3 separate regions of the Mus musculus genome follow, and all the other regions are reported to be linked to region 1. Evidence: microRNA targets listed by miRTarBase, many of them from high-throughput screens and not tested one by one. Region 1 holds a microRNA gene; each other region holds the end of a gene's coding sequence.
Evidence for each region. Region 1 holds the annotated microRNA mmu-miR-3106-5p (UGGCUCAUUUAGAAGCAGCCA, at 3,445-3,465, shown strand). A microRNA usually pairs through its seed, bases 2 to 8, with sites in the 3' UTR of a target mRNA and lowers its output. Matches are read on the target gene's strand: a 7mer-m8 pairs with bases 2 to 8, a 7mer-A1 pairs with bases 2 to 7 and ends in A, and an 8mer does both.

Region 2: miRTarBase lists Ly6g6d as a target of mmu-miR-3106-5p. Seed matches in the 3' UTR shown: 7mer-A1 at 5,254-5,260.
Region 3: the mRNA of Ikbkg is a reported target of mmu-miR-3106-5p. Seed matches in the 3' UTR shown: 7mer-A1 at 288-294 and 7mer-A1 at 218-224.

What each region holds. Positions count from the first base shown.
Region 1 is chr8:16,165,456-16,172,269 of GRCm38, reverse strand. It overlaps Mir3106 (microRNA 3106), which reads left to right and starts at 3,432; the gene lies at 3,432-3,513. The region is part of intron 23 of Csmd1 (CUB and Sushi multiple domains 1); the gene reads left to right.
Region 2 is chr17:35,066,101-35,072,914 of GRCm38, forward strand. It overlaps Ly6g6d (lymphocyte antigen 6 complex, locus G6D), which reads right to left. Exons shown (of 5, transcript NM_001371028.1): 5 at 5,242-5,659. The coding sequence ends at 5,445. It overlaps Ly6g6c (lymphocyte antigen 6 complex, locus G6C), which reads left to right and starts at 1,225. Exons shown (of 3, transcript NM_023463.3): 1 at 1,225-1,344; 2 at 2,767-2,877; 3 at 3,220-3,948. The coding sequence starts at 1,290. The coding sequence ends at 3,434. Mpig6b (megakaryocyte and platelet inhibitory receptor G6b) reads right to left here and starts at 84. Exons shown (of 6, transcript NM_001191012.1): 1 at 10-84. The coding sequence starts at 70.
Region 3 is chrX:74,446,128-74,452,941 of GRCm38, reverse strand. It overlaps Ikbkg (inhibitor of kappaB kinase gamma), which reads right to left. Exons shown (of 10, transcript NM_010547.2): 9 at 5,022-5,083; 10 at 1-4,725. The coding sequence ends at 4,583. Among named protein-coding and RNA genes, the nearest start is that of Ikbkg, 20 kb to the right of the region's middle.

The DNA.
Region 1 (6,814 bases):
AATTATTATTATTAAACTCATTTTGAAATTTCCATTGCTGCATATTTCTGATTGAATACTATTTTTAAATCCTTCCAACTTCTTGTGGAAATTAAGAAGCATTAAAACTCTCAGGGCACAAGTTTATCTTCTTGGTTTTGAAAGCCCATTTGCTAGTTGCTTTATGTGGACAAGCAATGTAGTTTATATTTCACTAAAGATGGAATTCACTAGATGGTTGTTATTTTAGTTTAGTCTGTGGCAGCTATCAGCTCATTATCTAGATTAAAATGGATATCAATTAAGTATGGTGATGTGAACTTATGGCATGCTTTATACATTAAGGGTCAGGATTGTATAGATTAAAATTAAAGCAATCCTGCCCATGTTTTCAGGTTATATCCTACCTGGAATAACAGACACAATGAAATAAAAGAATAAAAAGCAAGGACAACACTGATGTTTTTTCATTTGTGGCAGGATTCATAAGAAATTTCAGAGTATACTTAGTGCTTGAACCATAGCCAGGGGCAGTGTAACAAGCTTCAAACAGAGTATAATCAGCACAAACTGATTTGGACAATAATAAACCCCTCTCTGTTCCTATAAGACAGACTGCGACAGACAAACAGCTTCTGGGGATTTCTCAGATGACCACATCACTGGAAGTTAAAGGAGGAGACTGTGTTCTTGGCTCCAGTTTATAGGAAGGCCAATAGGAAGGAGGGGAGGATGGGATGGGGGTGTGGCCAAGGAGGACGCACTCGGGAAGCATGAGATTGCGTACTCCAAGAACCTGCAGGAAAACCTGCAATGGCTGACCTCACAGGACAGGAGAGGTGATTTTGATGAATAGATCCGATGCAATGACTTTGTTCCACTGGTGGTAGTTTGCGTGGTGAACTTTATCTCTACTTCATGTTGAGGATCTGCACCGAGCCCATTAGTGCACTATGGAGCTTCAGCTCCTGCACAGGTGGCTGTCCATCCATGACATAAGCAGCAGAGAGAGGGCAGCCTGGCACTCAGGAGTTACAGTCAGACTGACAGCTCGCTGGCATTCAGCCATTCTTCTTTTTTCTTGGATACTTTCTTTATTTACATTTCAAATGTCATCCCATTTCTCAGTTTCCCTCCCTCCCAGAAACACCCTATCACATCCTCTCTCCCCCTGCTTCTATGAGAGGGTTCCTCCAAAAGAACTCCCAGGGACTAAGCCATCAGCCATTCCTTGAAGAGTGAAATGTAAGGGTTGGTTTGGTGCTGCTAAATATCCAAATGCTAAATACTGCCCCCATGAGGAGATGCTCATGTACACCTCATGTACAGGATGTTATATAAACCTTGCCCCCCAAGTTATCACCGACTAGGCCTACAGCCTAGGTTCTGCAGAAGAGAGAGGGACAGGATTCAGGCAGGGACCACGAAGAGAGTGAGAAAGAAGGAAGTCACTGTGCTTGGATTGTGAGTGTATGGCTTACAGTCCTTTTATAGACTGACAAGGAAAACATGCCTTAAAGGGGTGTATCAAAAACATCCTAACCTTTGCTAATAGCTGTACCAGTAACTGCTCTCAGAGGCATATGGGGAGCAGGCATGGGCCAGCTAGGGTGGGGAAACATTTTTTTTAAAGATTTATTTATTTATTTATTTTATGTATTTGAGTACACTGTCCCTGTCTTCTGACATACCAGAAGAGGGCATCAGATCCCATTACAGCCACCCTGTGGTTGCTGGGAATTGAATTCAGGACCTCTGCAAGAGCATCCAGTGCTCTTAACCACTGAGCCATCTCTCCAGACCCAGAGGGTGGGAAAATTTAACATGAGGAGTGCTGGTTACATTGCTCAGTCCAAAGTTGAACAGGTTCCTGGGGCAATGGAAACCTCACAGTCATCTTATGACTCTCAACCAAAGAAGTCTTTAGCATGATGTTGAATGACGAAAAAGAACGCCAGTTCACTGAAGCAAGTAAAGAGAGCTGCAGTCTAACCTCCCGAAGTGCGTCTTACCCAAGCACCGAGACATTTAAGAGCTGCATGGAAGGCCAAGTAGCAGGCTATTTCTCCAGGCTAGTACAGGGAGGCAAATGGGGTTGCACCTCCCCTGCCATAGCTACCTGCCCTCCCCTTTCCCAGGATTAGGTTAAAATTCCTAAGTGAATACGAAGTTTATTTCTTTAGAAGTCCCCCAGTCTCACACTATCTCATGAAACCTGGAGATTGCCAGGCTTTGAACATTTTCCTTGATTGAACCAACCCTAGTCCTAACAATCTGCCTTAGAGTCCTCTGCTCGGATTATGTTGGAGGTAACTGTAATCTGCCTCACATGACACGGACCATGTCTTCTGTCATGGCCAGGCAAGTCCTTGCTAAGAGAGGGTCACATAAAGGACCATGTTCCTAAATAAGTTGCCAGGGTCAGGACCAGCCACCTCCACAAGCTCCTAAGCCAATAGTAGATGAAAAGAATATATTGCCCAGAGTGTATAAAAAGTATTTTTAGAGGTGCCAATTTGGATATTATCATGAAAATTAAATCAATATGAAGGTATGCAGTACTGAGTTTTAGACAATGGGAATTAAAGTTGAATGCTAAAAAAACTATACTTCATATATATAAAATTGAATGTTTCCCTAATTGTCTCTCCAGCATTTGCATTTAAATGATTTCATGTTGAGGCTATTCCTAACTTTAAAAATAATTATGTAATTCAATTTCACAAAAAAATGCTGAAGACTCTTAGAAACATTGTTGAAAGTATATGTTTGAAGGGACTTTTAAATCTTAAAGGCACATCAGAATTTGTGCGTGCTGCATTTTGGCATCGGGGCTGCGTTGATGGGGTCGCCTTTTGTCATTACCTTCCCCTGCAGGTTGGCTCCATTTGTGCTGACATTCCAGGCTTGCAATTCTATGTTCAATCTAGTTTTACTTCCTGTCTCACTTTGTGAAATGAATATTTATTAGAGAGTTATATAAAACTATTTTTATCTTATAAATTTTCGCTCATCTTTGTCCGGGAAGACTTCGCGGTTACACAGACTCTCCTGCCAGCCAAGCAGATGCTTAGAGCCATCTAGGCATTTTAATAAATTGTGGAATTTCAGAGTGGAAAACAAGAATACTACTTTGACATATTAGTCCTAGAAAAACAAATTTGAAAAAAAGAAAAAGAAAAGAAAAGCAGACCCCTGAAGGGGGAAGTTACATTTTAAATTACTAAATCACCTGTGTGTAAACCATCAGATTGTCCTGTATTATATTCTGAACACTGGTATTTCTGCTATGAAATGTGGAATGTTGTTCGCTGAGGTCACAGCTGTCCTTCTCCTGGGAATTCCTGTGTAAAAGTGTTAGCATGAGCATTGTCTGTATGTGCATTTGGGAAACGGAAGGAAGAGCCACGCCCAGGCTCACCTGTGTGGCTTCTCATCAGTACCTTGTCCCCAGGGAAGCACAGGTGGCTCATTTAGAAGCAGCCATACACTCAGAGAGTGGCTGCCTATACATGGGCTTTCCTGTGCTCCTCTCCTGTTGCCACGGACCCTCAAGGAAGGAGCCATGCAACTCGGCATGTGACCTCCTTTGCCGGTAGCCACCAACACAAGAATGCCCTCTGTCTCCTTAGGCACTCGCTGATGGATCTGTGACACCTCTTGTGGGGCTGAGCCCTGGAAGCCATGGCTGGGCCTAGGCAATGAAATAAATGATGTTTTACCCAGTGAAGTTAATATGTGTTCAGTGTGTGTCAAGTGAGCACTCGATGTTCTACTAACATGATGTTCTCCCAAATGATAACTGTTACATGTTGGTTTTCAACCAGTACCAACCACAAGTTCTTAATGAACAAGTATTTATATTTTTTATCTCTTCAGCATCTAATGTTCTTCTTCAATATAAATCAGAAATAGGCAATATACTTTATATGTATTTGAAGCAATATAGTCTCAGTAACCAATGAGTAAAACAAAGATGATATACCTGAATCCTCAGGTAGATAATGAGAGCAATCATGTCTGTGCATTCTGTCTATGTCTGTTTCTCTTCCTCCCTGTCTCTTTAGTTTTAAAACCTGTTACTATAGTCTACCCAACAATAATATAGAAATAACAAATATGTTGGCTTAGAGAGATAACTCCATCTATAAATTGCTCACCATGCAAGCATGAGGACTCGAGTTCAGTTCCCAGAACCCACATTCAAAGCATCCACGGCAATATGTGATTGGGAAGTGTGAGGATGCAAAGACAGGTGGGGGCTCAGGCTCAGTGGGAAGGCAGTCTGGCCCAAATGGTAGGCTATAGGGTGAATGGGAGAACGGGTCTCAAAGAGTAATGTGAAGAGTGATTAAGGAAGACTCCTTACATCTGTGTCTGGCTCCTACATGCACATGAGTCTGTACACACATGAACACGTGTGCTCACAAAACACATGAGAGAAGTTACTATGCTCACAAATACATTTCATCAATAAAAAGAAATTTGAGTGATCCCAGTGAACTATTAGATGTGTTTAGTATCAAAAGTATCATCATCAGTCAGAAATCTTAATTAAAATCGATTTTGAAGCATAATATTGAAATTTCACTTTTATATCAGAGTATTGGGTTTTTCTTTCAAATTTATCATCAAAATTAAATGTGAAAAAAAAAGCTACAATATATGGACATATTAAGCAGAAACAGTAGAAAGCCATTAGCACCATGCCACATAACTAAGTGGCTTCTATGTCATCCTGAAACTTTCAAGGACTCTGGGAATGTCAACATGGATGCTAAAAATATTCTATGCCCCTTCTTGCCACATATGTCCTTCCCTTTATTTAAAAAGATAGAAATGAACAGCTTGCACACATCATTGGGAAAGGCCAGCAAGAACAACCAAGGAAGTTCCAAAGCATGAATGAGCGCATCATGCTTTGGCTGGGATGGCTCAGGTGCATGTCTTAATGTGTTCTTAGACAATCGTCACAATTTGTGCTAATTCATAAGTCTGATTTTCCAATTGGAATCCAAGAGAACACGAAATGTCTTGTTCTGTGTGTGAGTATTCTCTGAAACATGTTTATTAAGATTAGCTCCTAATTATCGTCAATGAAAGGTTTCTTTGCTTTCCTGGTGTCTCAGGAAGCCTTGGTGAGGGCTAATCTCTGAGTGAGGGGTGGGCCCGGGTTCAGTGTCTTGTGCTCAGTGTCTATGCTCTCTTCCTCGGGAGCTGTGCTCTTCCTCCTCCACATTAGCTCGCATCTCATCTGAACCATTGTCCTCTAACCCTACTTTTGATAGCTTTGCAGTGACTCTGCCTTCCTATCTGTTCTCACTCCAATCCATTCCATAGGACCACAAATGAACTCTTAAATGTTGGGTCTGTGCTGTGTGTCCCTCCCTGTATCCCTGTGAGTCTATGGTTATTTGTGTGCCACCCCCAGCATCTCTATGCCAGTATTTCTGAGCCAGGTTCAATAATACATTAGTGTTGGATCAGTGTGTTTTGTATTCCCCAACCTTTCTCCTCCCCTGTCCTACCCATCTGACTCCACTTCTTTGTCAGATAGCTTCAACAGATACAGAGGTCATAGGTAGGCTGCACATCATTCATTCTTCTCTAGGTACCACTGAGAACCATGACTACCATTCTTCTCTGGATACCACAATGTTTTTACTCCATCATGCCCAAGAATTTTCTTTCCAGTACGATTTCACTCTGGTTTGAGGACTAGGTAAGGTAGCTGTACTTCCTTCTAGAACTATCCAAATGGCTTTCTTCCTGCTAGTGCCCAGACATCTCTCTGTGCCTCTGTACCCCTGCCTCTACTCCATCATTTAGCAAAATGCCTTGTCAGTAATTTAGTTCCTTGGCTACAGGGCAGAAGGTAGGATTCCTTTCCTCTATTGCCTGAGCCCAACATTGCCAACGACTCTGGCTTTGGCATCCATGTTGTGGGTAAACCTAGGCAGGCACCCATTGGAGGTTAGTGCTTAGAGCTGCCATCCTGGGTGGATCCAGATACCTACAGGGGCTGCTGCCAAAGGCATCCAGTGATTAGAGAAGCTGCTTAGCAGACTTTTTTTTCTGAGGGTACAAAGCTTACTTTACAGGGACTGGCACTTCTTTGGAACACTGCAAAATTATGCATTTCTTTAACTCCTTGGGGCAGGCAAGAAAGAGAAGGAAAGAGAGAAAATTCACACACACACACACACAGACACACACACACACACACACACTGAATGTATAAAAGGCAGAGTCCAATAGCTTCATACACACAAATATACATGCATGAATACATACATACACATATACATACATGAAAACAGACCTACAGACAGACATACACATATTCACACATAGATTGGTTAGATCAAAGCTCCTTTAAGCAGACTCTAAATATTCCACACATATATACATAAATACACACAACTAACTGGTGGATGGAAGGAACAATGTTTCAACCCCCATTCACACAAACTTTTTATGTACATACATAGTTAATGGATGGGAGGGAAAATGTTCTAGTCACACCACACCACACCTTACCATACCATACCTCACTTTATTTTTCTTCCATAGCTTATATATCTCAGAAAAATCTTTCAAGCAATATACAATTACAATGAGATTAAATTTTAATTTTCTTCTAGTGAGTGATTATGAAAAAACAGTGTGTTTTCAGTACCTTTACAAGATTTAACATTACATAGAACAGGTAAAAAAATAAAATTCTCAAAAACCCACTAACATTCTTAACCAACTTGCTATAGATTAACAAAATGTAAGCAAGCAGGGTAGTTTATTCAGCCAACAGCCGGGCAGCAATTTTCAGTTATAAAGA
Region 2 (6,814 bases), not on the chromosome of region 1:
ATGGCCTACCCTCGGGATTCCCCTGGACCTTTGAGAGCAACAAAGGCAGCAGCGGCAGGACCAAGGCCATGGTTGGGATGTGGTGGTCAGAGGCGGGAGTGAATCAGCAGGGAGACCGGAGGGAAGCAGAGGGGCAGGGATGGGGATCCTGCCGGACTGGGGGCTCAGATAAGAGCGAGTGTGAGGCCACCAATTTCTGGATCCCTCTAGGAATCCTCAAGCCAACATGCAGTCTTCGAACTTTGAAATGATTTTAAATTTTGTGCTTGAAACCTTTTGCAAAGGCGCTATGCTTTTTTGCGAACAACTACCATGGCCCCAAAGTACCACAAATACTGAAGCTCAGCTTCCTGAGTTCGAATCCTGAGTTCATCCAGCCACACAGTAGCTGGGTGATGTGAGCAAGCCACTTAATCCCTGCCTGTTCCCTCATCAGGAAAATGGAGCTAAAAGCATGTGAGAACCAAATCAATACATTGAGAGAGTCTAAAGCAATAGATGACATATGGGAGTACTCAGTGTATGACATGGTCATTATTATCTCTATCTTAGTTCCTATCTCACCTCTGTGTGCCCATGATGTTCCTCCCTACCCAATGGGCTCCTCCCTACCCAATGGGCTCCTCCCTACCCAAGGGACTCCTCCCAAACCCAAGTCCAAGTGGGGTGAGGGCTTCCTTGGCATGTTATACAGCCTCAGCCCCGCCTCTCTGACATCACAGAAACCCTCCATGATGCCATAAGCCCTTCTTTATCTTGTGGCTGAGCATCAGTTGGAAGACTGGCTGGGGAATGGATCTACATTAATTCACCTGTTTCGTCAATTTCTGCTGGAATGTCTGATCAATGTCCTCCCATCCCTAGGCACCCAAAGTTGCTGAAACAACTCAGTTACTGTCTGTTTCCTGGGAACTAGCAGAAACTAGTGTTGTGGCTGTCTAAGTCACAGAGGCTTTTCTGATGCTCTCTCCAGGGCAGGGGGCCCTCAGCTGGGGGTCCTGAATCCAAGATCCAAAATGGAGTTGCCCACTAGTGACACTTTCCCCCTCCTATCTCCCTCTCCTGTCTCCCCTTCCTACCCAGGCCCTCTTGGACCCTTTCCACCTCTAGTCTTTCTCTTTAGTCAGCTGGGAATAAATTGGGAGGGAGGTGCCCACAGAGGGCACAGGCCCGGAAGGGAGGAGCCATTGGGATTATAAATTCTGAAAAGACCGCTCAACTCTCAGAGCTGGAGACCTGGGAATCTGCTGTCAACTGCTGGGGCTGTGGACATTCTCAGGACCCTCACCATGAAACACCTCCTGTTGCTCACCCTGTCTGCCCTACTCTACTGCTGGGTCTCAGGTGAGTGCTGAGGGGCCCCAGGCCCCATCCCAATCCAATACTTCATATTTCCCTCTACTCAGGATCCCAAGAAGTCCCAACCCTACATGGCTTAGTCTCGCCAATGCCTCCAGGATCAGATATCTCTGAGCATGATGGGCTCTAGTTTTCTTACTCCTCTCCTTCTTTTCCTTCCTCCTTCCATTTCTTGTATTCTTTTTTGGGGGGGGGTGGGTCAGAGTCTCCTGCTTTGAACTCCTGATCCTCCTGCCTCTACCTTCTAATGCTGGGATTACACATGTGTATCACACCTAGGCTCTTTGGTCCATTATCAAGGACCCAGGTCTCCATTGTCATTTTCTCCTAGCCCTGTATTGGCCTAGCCTACTCTTCTTACCTGGCATTATGGCACTAGGTCTCTATACACCTTTCCTGCACTCTATAACACCCAGATGTCTGTCTAGCCAGTTCCAAATGCACTTCTCCAAGATTAGCATACCTGCCTTCACTCACCTACTGCCCTGAGCTGAGGGTCCTCATAGAAAGGATTCCATGCCACTCCTCTCAGAGCCTCAGCGATGGCCCTTCCTGGCTCGTTCCCTGCTCCTTCCTGAGTTACACACCTATATCCCTACCGGGGATGCAAAGCCTTCTGGGTGGACCCAGCGACTGCTACAGCCTTCCCAAGAATCAGAAACTTTCCCTGAGCCTTCTACAGAGAAGATGCTGCAGCACTTACCCTAAAGTGAGATGCGTTTCCGGGAGGCTCTCTAGGCTCCTCTACCCCTGGGCTGACCATTCCTGCGCCGCACTTTGTGTGCTTACATCTGGAGTTAGCCAACCCGGGAATCCTGGCGTGTCATCCGCTGCACCCACCCTCTCCATTTCTGTTAGATGCCAGTGATACGTCTACCAGGTGTTAGTTTTCCTTTTTTCCATAGAGCAAACGCCAGAAGAGTAGAGATGATTCATTCAGTAATCTCCCCAATCTGTTGGCAGAGGTCCAGTCCACTTCTAAAGCTAGTCACCGGTGACTTTCTTGCAGCCGTGGTTTCATGCCATCTCTGAAGGCTCTGTGGACTCCTTTAACTTCTTTCTCCCTATTTCAAGTCTCACCCTGGACCCCAACCTCTGCTCCATCCCTCTTTCCACACATCTCAGCCATCCTCAGCTCCGGGTTTTTGTTAGTACAATTCTTGACTCATCTCAGGCAGGCTTGGGTGGAGGAAGGTATTTAGGTTTCCACATAGAACAAACACCTCCGCCCAGTGCCCACACCACTTTGCACTTTCGCCGGATTGCTCACCTGTTCTGTCTCTGAACAGAGCAGGTGTGAGGCACTGACTGCGCAATGCGGCAGTTCTCCATCCTAACCCCTAACTCAACTCATCCTCGGGTGACTCAGATGTCCCATTACCTCAACCCAACTTGTTGCCTCCCCAGCTGATACTCGATGTCACTCCTGCTACAAAGTCCCTGTGCTGGGCTGTGTGGATCGCCAGTCCTGCCGCCTGGAGCCGGGCCACAAATGCCTGACAACAAACGTGTACCTTGGTAACACCCCCTCTTCTCTGGGAAGGGAAGGCCGGGTGGGAGATGATCTCTTTGTCTGAAGCCCATCCAGGGATAGTTCAGAGAGTTACAACAGTGATGTCGGATGGCCAAAGATGATTATGTGCCAGGCGCTGACCTGTGTCTCTACTGTGTTAGTGGATGCTTGTGTTGACCCCAGGAATTGGTCTTAGGAGAAGGGGCATGGCTCATGCTCGGGAAGGATGATGAGACTTTGAGGAGAGAAGGGAGAAACCAAGCAGTTTGGGGAAGGGAGAGTAGCCAATGGACACAGGCAAGCCAGTGCCCACTGCTGATCCTTTCTCCATTGGCTCCTGCCTCTAGGGAAGATGTGGGTTTTCTCTAACCTGCGCTGCGGCACACCAGAAGAGCCTTGTCGGGAGGTCTTCAACGAAACCAACCATAAGCTGGGCCTGAACTACAACACCACCTGCTGTGACAAGGATAACTGTAACAGCCCGGCTCCACGGCCCACACCCGCACTGGCCCTCATCTCCCTCACCTCCTTGGCTGGCCTCGGCCTCTGGTTATTGCATTGAGACTAGCTCCATGGCTACAATCTTACCACCTGCTATAGCCTGAGCCTTTCTCCCTGTGTCCTCAGAGCTCCAGCTTTCCAGAATCTTCTCTCCTCCCACCCCCTTCTTCTGAAGATCATGTCCCTAGTCCTATACCATTTATTTCATGGGACTGTACCTGGAGTGGCCTTTCTAGCCACCGCTCCTCTCCCTCACTTGTCACCTTCCACTCCATTCCACCCACACACAGACACACAGACACACAGACACAAAGACACACACACACACACACACACACACACACACCCAGTCCTTTCCCATTTCCTTCTAGAACACTCTACCTCCTCCACTGGCCACTGAAAGGCTCCCCTCCTTGGACGCACACTGCTGTGCCTCTGGGATCTAAGTCTGGAAGAACTCCTGTCTTGTCTCCAGGGAGTGATTCCAAAAGGCGCTGGCCTCATTGCATGGGCCTGGCTTACCAGACCCTCTGCTTGTCCCCTTCTATCTTGAGAAATAAACATCAGTGTCTAATAAGCGTTGTGTTTATTGTTAGAAGATATAAGTGCTAATCTGGGTACGGTGGCTTTCCTCTGTAATCTCAACAACTGGGGGGCAGAGGCAGTAATAGTTCAAGACCATCCTTGACTCCATAGCAAATTCAAGGTCAGCATGAACCACAATAAGATCCTGTCTCAGAAAGAAAGAGGCTGGTATGGCCAGGCAGCGCAAGTCTTTAATCCCAGCACCTGGGGAGGCAAAGGCAGACAGATCTCTGAGTTCTAGGCCATCCTGGTCTACAGAGAGAGTTTCAGGACAGCCAAGCTATATAGAGAAACTTTGTTTCAACAAAACAAAACAAAACAAAACAAAACAAAACAAAACAAAACAAAACAAAAGAAACAAGAAAAGAAAAGGAAAGAAAGAAAGAGAAGGGAGGAAGAATGGAAGGAAAGAAGGAAGAGGTGGGCATGGCTCTATGCCCTTTTAATCCTAGCACTTGGGAGACAGATAGGTGGTAGGGGAGGAGGATGGGGAGGGGAGGAGCAGGAGGTGGGGGAGGGACTCTCTCCATGGAAATCTCACTCCCTGCACCTCACCCTTATGCTTGCCTAAGAGGCCTCCTGGGGGGGGGGAGTTTCACTGACCAAATGGAAGAGCAGGTTTTGCAAGCCTTTCTCCCTTCCCACACCTGAGGGTGGCACACTGGCACCAGTGTTTGGAGAAACAGCCCTTATCCTAAATTTAGACGACACCCGCCAAGAAGCAGGTGCAGCCTAGCTAGAGGGTGCCCCAGAAAGGAAATGTGTGTACAGACAGAGCTGGCTCTTGTCTCCACCTCTGAGGTGCCTTTCTAACTGGGTTATTCAAGCAACTTTCCTTTCTCAGTTCGAAATACTCCTTCCTATTGAGAGCCAAGTTATGAAATACAGAAGGGAAACCATGGACTCTGGATAACCCTCCACCCAGCCTTCCCTCCAGGGACCCTCACTGTGAAGGAGTCTGCCTAGCAGCAGGTCCCGGGAGCCACTGAGGACAGAGTCACCATTGTTTTGAGGAGTGTCGTTGGATCAGGTCCACTGATGGACTGTTGTTAACTGAACTAGAAGCCAGATAAGTGCGTTATCCCTTCAGTCTTCTCAACAGAAGGCACTCAGAAGCTAGGAGCAATGACACATGCCTTTTGGAGCTGGAGACAGAGGCAGGTGGATCTTTGAGTTCAAGGCCAGCCTGGTCTACAGAGTGACTTCCAGGATGGCCAGGGCTACCTAGAGAAAACTTGTCTCAAAAAAAAAAAAAAAAAAAAAAAAAAAAACCCAAACGAACATTTCGGTAGTGGTGGCTCACACCTTTAATCCCAGCACCTTGCCTCAAAGAATGAAAAACAAATATTTTTACAGTCCTCTCTAGAATAGTTCATCAATTTTAACGGCACACAAGGGAGTGTTTGTCTTCTTACCTTAGATGTCCAGCTCCCTCACTCCCTTGGTCCTTCAGTCCTTACCCTGCCCTCGGTCCCACCCTCCAGCTCTACAGTCCTGGCAAGAGCCAGGCCAGGGTGGTAACAGCTGCAGCCAAGATGCACAAGGGGGTCACGGAGCTTGCCACGGCGCTGTTGCACAGATCTCCAAAACAGCAGTTTTTCTGGGTTGTGAAAGTCACGTCTCCCACTGACTCTATGGCCACTTGATTGCAATGATGCGTGGCCACGCAGGCTGGGTAGTGATGGCTCAAGGTCGCGGAGGCTGGGAGAAAGAAGGCACTGGGGTGTTAAACTCCTGACTGCAGGACTTGCCTTCCCTGAGAGAGAGCAGTTACAAAGTCTAGGGGCTCAGAAAGGATACTCTGTCCTCTCAAAACAAACAAACAAAACCCACCTCTCTGAAACCAAGGGACCAGGGCCAACAGGCGGACCTAAACAGGGATGCTAGGATGTTCCAGGAGCCCTGGACCATTCATGTCTCAGCCTCAACACGGGGAAATCACAGCTAAATACAAAAGGGACAGTTTGTAAGATAGCCCAGCACTGTTACCTAAATGAAACCAAAGATGGGCATACTGGTGCATGCCAGTAACAGCTATTCAGGAGGCTGTAACAGCAATCATCAGGATTGCCAGGAGTTCAAGGTCAGTCTGACCAACCCATTGAGTTAAAGGCGACCCTGGGCTATAAAACGACACCCTGTCTCAATGCAACAGTGGATAGAGCTGGGAGTGAAACTCACTTAGTAAAATGCTTGCCTAGTGTGCACAAGTCCTGGATTCAACCCACACCACCAAAACACACCAAAATAAACAGGACATGGGGAGCTAGAGAGATGGCTCAGTGGTTAAGAGCATTGACTGCTCTTCCAGAGGTCATGGGTTCAATTCCCAGTCACCATATGGTGGCTCACAACCATCTGCAATGGGGACCCGAAGCCCTCTTCTGGTGTGTTTGAAGACAGCCACAGTGTTCACATACATGAAATAAATAAATAAAACCGGGCTGGAGAGATGGCTCAGTGGTTAAGAGCTCCAACTACTCTTCAGAAGGTCGTGAGTTCAAATCCCAGCAACCACATGATGGCTCACATTATTAATGAGATCTGACGCTCTATTCTGGGGTGTCTGAAGACAGCTACAGTGTACTTACATTAAATAAACAAACAAACAGGACGTGGTAACACACGCCATGGGAGAAAAGGAGAATCCCAAGGTTTAGGTCATCCTTGGATTTCTAGCAAGTTGGAGGTCAGCCTGGGAGATGTGAGATGTGAGACCATGTCTTAAAAATAAGTAAACAATATAGAGCTGAAGAGAAGCTCAGTGGTTAAGAGTGCTTGCTGCTCTTCCAGGGACCTGAGTTCTCACAGCAGGTTCACCCGTCTAACTCAAGCTCCAGAGGATCTGATACACTC
Region 3 (6,814 bases), not on the chromosome of region 1:
GAAAAGAAAAAAACACTAGAAAAGGTCAGTGGTAGTAATGTGAGTTAAAACAGGGTAGTATGATTTAGGATGAAGAGATCAGATGAAAGAACTTTTGTTTACACTTATATGGATGACAAAAAGTAGTCAACAGTACAAATTAGGGAACAGAACTTTCTCAGCAAAGGAGACAACAGGAGCAACAGCCTTAAGAAACAGAAGTGCTGGGCTGGTGAGATGGCTCAGTGGGTAAGAGCACCCTACTGCTCTTCCAAAGGTCTGGAGTTCAAATCCCAGCAACCACATGGTGGCTCACAACCATCCGTAACAAGATCTGACTCCTTTTCTGGAGTGTCTGAAGACAACTACAGTGTACTTACATATAATAAATAAATAAATAAATCTAAAAAAATTTAAAAAAAAAAAGTGCTAAGTGGTTTGAGGAAAGGAATAGAAGGCCAGTGTAGAATTGGCTGAGCTTTTAGAGAAGTTGACATGACATTAGATCAACACAAGGCTGAAGATGGAGTTTAGGTCTCAAGTAACAGAAAATCAGTGGAGAGCACTAAGCAAAGTGGAAACAGATTTACCAGATCACACTGGTTGCCAGTAGCAATGGATAAAAAAGAGCCTGCAGTTTCAATATGAAACTGCACCTAACAGTCAAGGCAAGATGAAGGGACCCAGGACATCTCACACTGAGCCTGGCTAGATCAGAATTGAACATCAAACAACTTCTCTCATAACTAACTTCCACTGTTACCTAGTCCTCCCAATGGTAGATAGATTGTCCAGGTACCCAGGCAGGAAACCAAAAGTCCAGCAATCCCTCTCTTCCATGTCCATAATGTTGGCTGCAGCTCCATACCTAAGACCCTCATGCTGCTCTGACCTTCTCTGCAAATCATCTCTTTCCATCACTGTCACTAGATACTGAACAAAATGCTTCCATGTTTCCAAATACCCACCTGTATACAACACTGGTGTGCTTATAAAAAGGAAACACAAGATGGCCATGTGACAAAAGTGGCAGAGGCAGAGATGCAGGTACAACTAGAGAAAACTAAGAATTTCTGGGACCTGCCACACACTGGAGAGGGGCACTGGAATGGGTTATCCCTTATGAGGAACCCACTTCTCAGATGCCTGCCATCCTTAACAGGGAGAGGAAATCTGTTGCCTAAGCTCCCTAACGTGTGGTACTTTGTTGCTGCAACCACAGGAAATTCAAGCCCCAAATTAGTTGACTTGGCCCCTTTCACCACTCTGTTGTGTCAATAATGAGCTTTCCTCAGCCATAGGCAGAAGAAACCTCAGAGCTGTGTGTAACAGCTACTTCCTATGTAATACAGGGGAATTAAAGAGATAGAAATAGCAAAGAAAACCTTTGTTACTGGCAATCCTACCCCTACATCCAACAAGGGAGGACAGAGTGCATGCTTGAAAGTCTTACTTCTTTATTTCATATTTTATACATAATTTAATCCTCGGGCCTTTTTATACCATCGTACAGAGAATGTTCATGTAATAAAATGTTCAAGATGCTAGCCATGCAGGCCTGTGTCATCGGATATGTTGTATCTTATTTCATCACAGCCTTGGGTGGTAACAGATGATGGTGCCATAACACTGGAGAGGCACTCCAATGAAGCAGTCACTGTGAGGACCAAACTGTTGTCAGGTAAAGAGGGCTGGGGATGCTTCCAAAGTGCTTGTTCATCTCTCCAAACTCCCACCTTGAAAGGGGAAACACTAAAAGGTAGGCCTTACCTTGCCTGAGGGTGTCACACACAGGGCTGCAATTGTTCCTTTTTAGATATCATTCCTACCTACAATCTGCCTTATCGTTTATTACTTCAGTAGGTGAAGCACTCTGTACTGTCTTACTGGCTCTCTGGTTTTCTCTTGGGCATGGGCCAACAGGAAGAGAGCATACATAAGAAGCACTATCTATTCCAGAACAGGTCTTCTGGAAAGGGCATGCTTCTAGCTGTATGGATCTAAAAGTTGTCTGCCAGAGGCCACATAAAATTTGTGCAAAAGCAAGTAGACTAATTCCTGAGGGGAATGGAACGACCACTTTTTCCAGTTCTAGCTTAAGTAATTCTGCAAAAGAAAAGAGCATGTCTCATGTCAAAAAGATGGTAGAATCTCAAATCTTTGATGTACGGTTAATCATACACCATACTGCAGGGTAAGTCGGTGGCAAGGGCTCCCACCTTCTAGAAGGGTACTAGGTCCCAACCATTACCTTGTGCCACCCTCAGATTTGTCTTGACCAGTGCATGAAGCCCATGTTTTCAAGCTTCCTACTGTGTAACCTGGGTCACACCTGCTTTCTGGGACCCTTTCAGGATAAAGTACTGGTCAGAAATGCACCTATGCATCTCTGTTTATCCAAGAAGCGTGAAGCTCATGCAGCCACTGCAGGCAGCCCAACAGCTCTCTCCTACTATAGCCAACCTGCCTTTCCCAATCATTCCCACTGACCCTACTAACAGCATCAAGCACTGACAAGGGTCTGCCTTCAAACTCTGAAGACTACTGGTCATCACCCTAGAGACCAGGTCTCTCTAGCAGAATTACAAGGCTTTAAAGGCCCTGCCTTTGGGCTGCATTTACTCAGGTTCTGATGATATCCATACTCCGGGTTATATAAGCCCAAACCCCCATAATGTGAGAACAAGACTTTATTTGGGGAAAGGATCTTGGTAGGTGGAATGAGTTAAGGGTCTTGAACTGGAGATCCTCCTTAATCTAATCAAATAGACCCCACATGCACAACATGGTTTCCTTATGAGACAGAAGAGAGGAAGAAACCACAAGGCCCTAGAACCAGAAACTGGAGTGATGGGTCTATGAGCCAAGCAACACCAAGGACTACCACAAACCACTGAAAGTTAAGAGAATGCCTGGAATTGATTCTCACAGCCTCCAGAAAAAACTTAATATGTGGCTTCCAGACAGGAAAGAGTGATTTGTTGTTGTTGTTGTTGTTGTTGTTGTTCTTGCTCTTCCAAGTTTAGGAAAAATTTTAAAGCAGCTATAGAAAAGTGATATATACCACCACAAAACTGGACTCAACCTAAACCAATAGTATTCCTAAAGGAAAATTATAGATTAGGTATTTAAATGAAAACACATAAGCAAAGAACTTGTTTGTTCCTTTAACATTTTCCTAAAGATCTTTCTGATAGATACCTGGGAATTAGGAAATGGAAAACTTACTCTGCATCCCCTGAAAATTCCGAGAAAGCCCCCAGCTCAGGATTACTTTTTAAATCCTTTTTTATAATCTGAATTCTACTTAGCCTTCTCACTCTTAATGGGAAAGAAACCATGTAAATAAAAGCCCCCGGGATGGATTCACAGATACCACTCAGAACCATGAAAGCTTACAGGAGGGCAGGAAGGATTTAGACCTAAGGAATGAGCAAGGCATATTTATTGCTTTCTCAACTACAACTTCCTTTCCTTTACTAGAACTGCAGGTCTAATACCAATGACGGTAAGGTCCCACAAAATGTCTAGAACCTTGCAAAACAAGTGAAGTGTTCCCTTTTCTGTGATCAGTCAGTCACTGCTAAATGGTTCCCTAGGACATTTTGGCTGGTGAAGAACATGTGATCACAAACTCCAGGAGTGTGATGAACTATGGCCACCACCATTCACAGAAGGTAACAATGTGCTTGGCAAAAACAAGAGCACACTGGGGCTAGAAAAAGGAAAGCATACATGTGAAATACCTTTCTGTTGACAAAGCAGTCATAATTCCAAAGTCAAAAAACTAGGAGTAAAGAATGGGTAAGTAGGAGTATAAAACAGCTTCTAGGCCCCAAAACACTAACAATCAATGTGGAACAAGGGGTGCACTTCTGTAATAGTCAAAACCAACCTGACTGATAATCAAAAAGCTCTACAAAGCCCAAGAACAAATGGCAATGTCCCAACAGAAAAATGGGTAGGAATTATGAAAATCCAAGTTACATCAGAGGAATTAAAAAGGGCCCACATGCCCCAGAAAAAGACACTTAAGCAAATTCTTTAGTAAAGAATGGTATATCTTAGAGATGGCAAAAATCCAAAGGTCTGCCCACCTCCTCCAGGGCAAGGATCCAATGTCACATCTAAGCATCTGTCCTAAAGGTACACACAGATCAGTGTACAAGTACTTTCACTACACCATTAATTACAGTAACAAAAGGACAGAATACTTTCCACATGTCTACCAGAGGTAACACATGTTATAGACCCAAGTGCCACATGCCCTGGGAGGAGAGCCTGCAGTTCACCGGCAAGAAAGGTACCAGTTGGAGAGAAGAAAAGCTGTACCCAGACCTGCTTGGAGAAGGGATGCTCCCTAAGAGCCCCTGGCCTCCATTCTAGACTCCCTAGGACTATGGGAGAAGAGGGAAGAAGCCACCAGAGGCAAACTGGATCAGGCACACAGAAAAAAAAAAGCCCTGAATGGGGCTGTCTACCCTAAATGGGGGACCAAAGGGCTAAAGCAAGCCCTTAAGTGTGGACTATGCAGGTAAAACAGGAAAGCACAAGTCACACAGATCAGGACATAGTACTGCAAGTGGCCTTGCATCTGCTGCTCCTACTCTATGCACTCCATGACATGTATCTGTAGAGTGTCCATATCAGGAGCCTGATACTGGCACTTCGGACAACAGAAGTCAGGAGGTTCTTCAGGAGGGCTCCTCCGCTGGTTGGACAAGGCCAAATGAAAGGAGTGGTGAGCTGAGAAAAAAGAACACAGGAGTGTGATGAACTATGTAAGTACTTCATGCACAGCCTAGGTAGGCCTCAAATGGAAAGGGGGGCTAACAAGGTGCTGAGACTTACTGATACCACCATATTTGACTACATTGCTGGGAGCCACCTCCACCAGCACATTTTTCCTTTGACCTCAGAGTGATGTGGGCTACTGACAGGAGAGGTCAGCAAGAACTCCCCAAAGCAGAGCAGCAGAGAAACCAACACATGTTTCCCCTCCCTAAGCATCTCCTCCCATCATCTACCACTTGTTCACTTACCTGGAGCAGGGAGTAAAGGAGGCTGGGGAGTCTCTACATGCCGCTTCCTCATATCCTCAATCCTTTTGAAAACAGAAAGCATTCAATCAATGCTTATAGGGTTTTTTATGAATAAATACATTCATTTAGATATAATTCATGTACTATATAAGTCCCCAATTTAAACCGTATTGTTAGAGGGTTTTACTCTATTCAGCATATCCAATCATCAGCCTAATTTTAGAATATTTTATCATCCCCCAAAGGAAACTTTGTACTTATTAGGAATTATTCCTTGGGTTCCCCTATATTAGTTTCCTCAGAACCTTGTTACAAACTACCACATACTTAGTAACTTAGAATAACAAAAACGTGCATGATACAGATGACTAAGTGCCCCAAATAAACGTGTCAGAGGACTGGGCAGAATTACCATGCCCACCCCCTAGCTGCCAGTGGTTTACAAAGTGTTTGGCATTTCTTGGCTTGTAGCTGAATCTCAGAGTCTGCCTTAGCCTTCTTGTGGCAGCCTTCTATTATCTTAATTTGGTGCTTCTGTAAGTACCACAGTCAACTAATTAACCTAATGTGACCTTATATTAACTAGTTACATATATAAAGATACTAAACCAAATAAAGTCATATTTTGAGTTTTTAGATAGATACATTTGCACTGGTTAGGTTTTTGTTGTTGTTGTTTGTCATTTTGACAAAAGCTGGATTCATCTGATCAAAGTCATCTGATATTTACTCAACTGAGTATATTAGACTGGCCTATAGGCAAGCCTTTGGGGCATTTTCTTCATTGATAAGAGAAGACCTAGTTCCCTAGAGACAGTGCCACACCTCAAGCAATCACTTAGGTTGCAAAAGCAAGCAAGCCAAAAAGTCGTTCTTCCAAGGTTTTGACTTCAGTTCCTATCTCAAGTTCCTATCCATCAAGTGGTTAGAGCTTAACGGGCTGCTCTGTGGGAGCCAAGGAAGATAAGAATGCTGACACCAAAGCAAATGAAGTTTCAGAGGGAAGCAAAGATTCTATCAGCGTCATTTGTGTGGTATTTTGAATTAAGAATCTGCAGTTGAAGTCAGCTGAGGCTGAAGAATCAGGTGCGATGAACAAGAGATCAGCAGAACTCAAGTAAAACCTTTGCTTTACGAGGGAGGACAACTAATGCTGGTTAACTGAAGCTGAGAAATTAGCTGTGATTAAGAAGAAAACAGTATCACTGAGGTGAAATCTTTTAAAATCTAGAGAGTATCTCCTCAGGATCAGCACACAGGAGAGGGGACCAAGTAATATGAAGGCATCATGGAAAGCAGCTAAAGAAAGGGCTTGGCACTATTTCAGAGGTCAGGAGAAGGTGCACCCTCAGCTGCAGTGGAAACCCTAGCATATTGGATGCCAGTAACATGGGACAACCACCATGGAGAGCAGAAGCTGTGGCAAGTTTGTAAGGCATATCTTCAATTAATAATTGCTGTGGGATGGCCCAACCTATGGTAGGTGGTGCCACCCCTGGGCAGGTGGGCCTAGGTTGTATAAGCAAGCAAGCAAGCTGGACAAGCCAGAAAGCAGCATTCCCCTTTTGACTATACTTCACGTTCTGCCTCCAGGTGCCTGCTCTGCCTCTGTCATGGATTATAAATTATAAGCTAAAATAATCCCTTTCCTCCCCAGTTGCTATAAGTCATGGTCTCTATCACAGCAACAGAAACCAAACTAAAACACTATGAGCAATCTACAGATTCAATGCAATCCCCATCAAAATTCCAACTCAATTCTTCAACGAATTAGAAGGAGCAATTTGCAAATT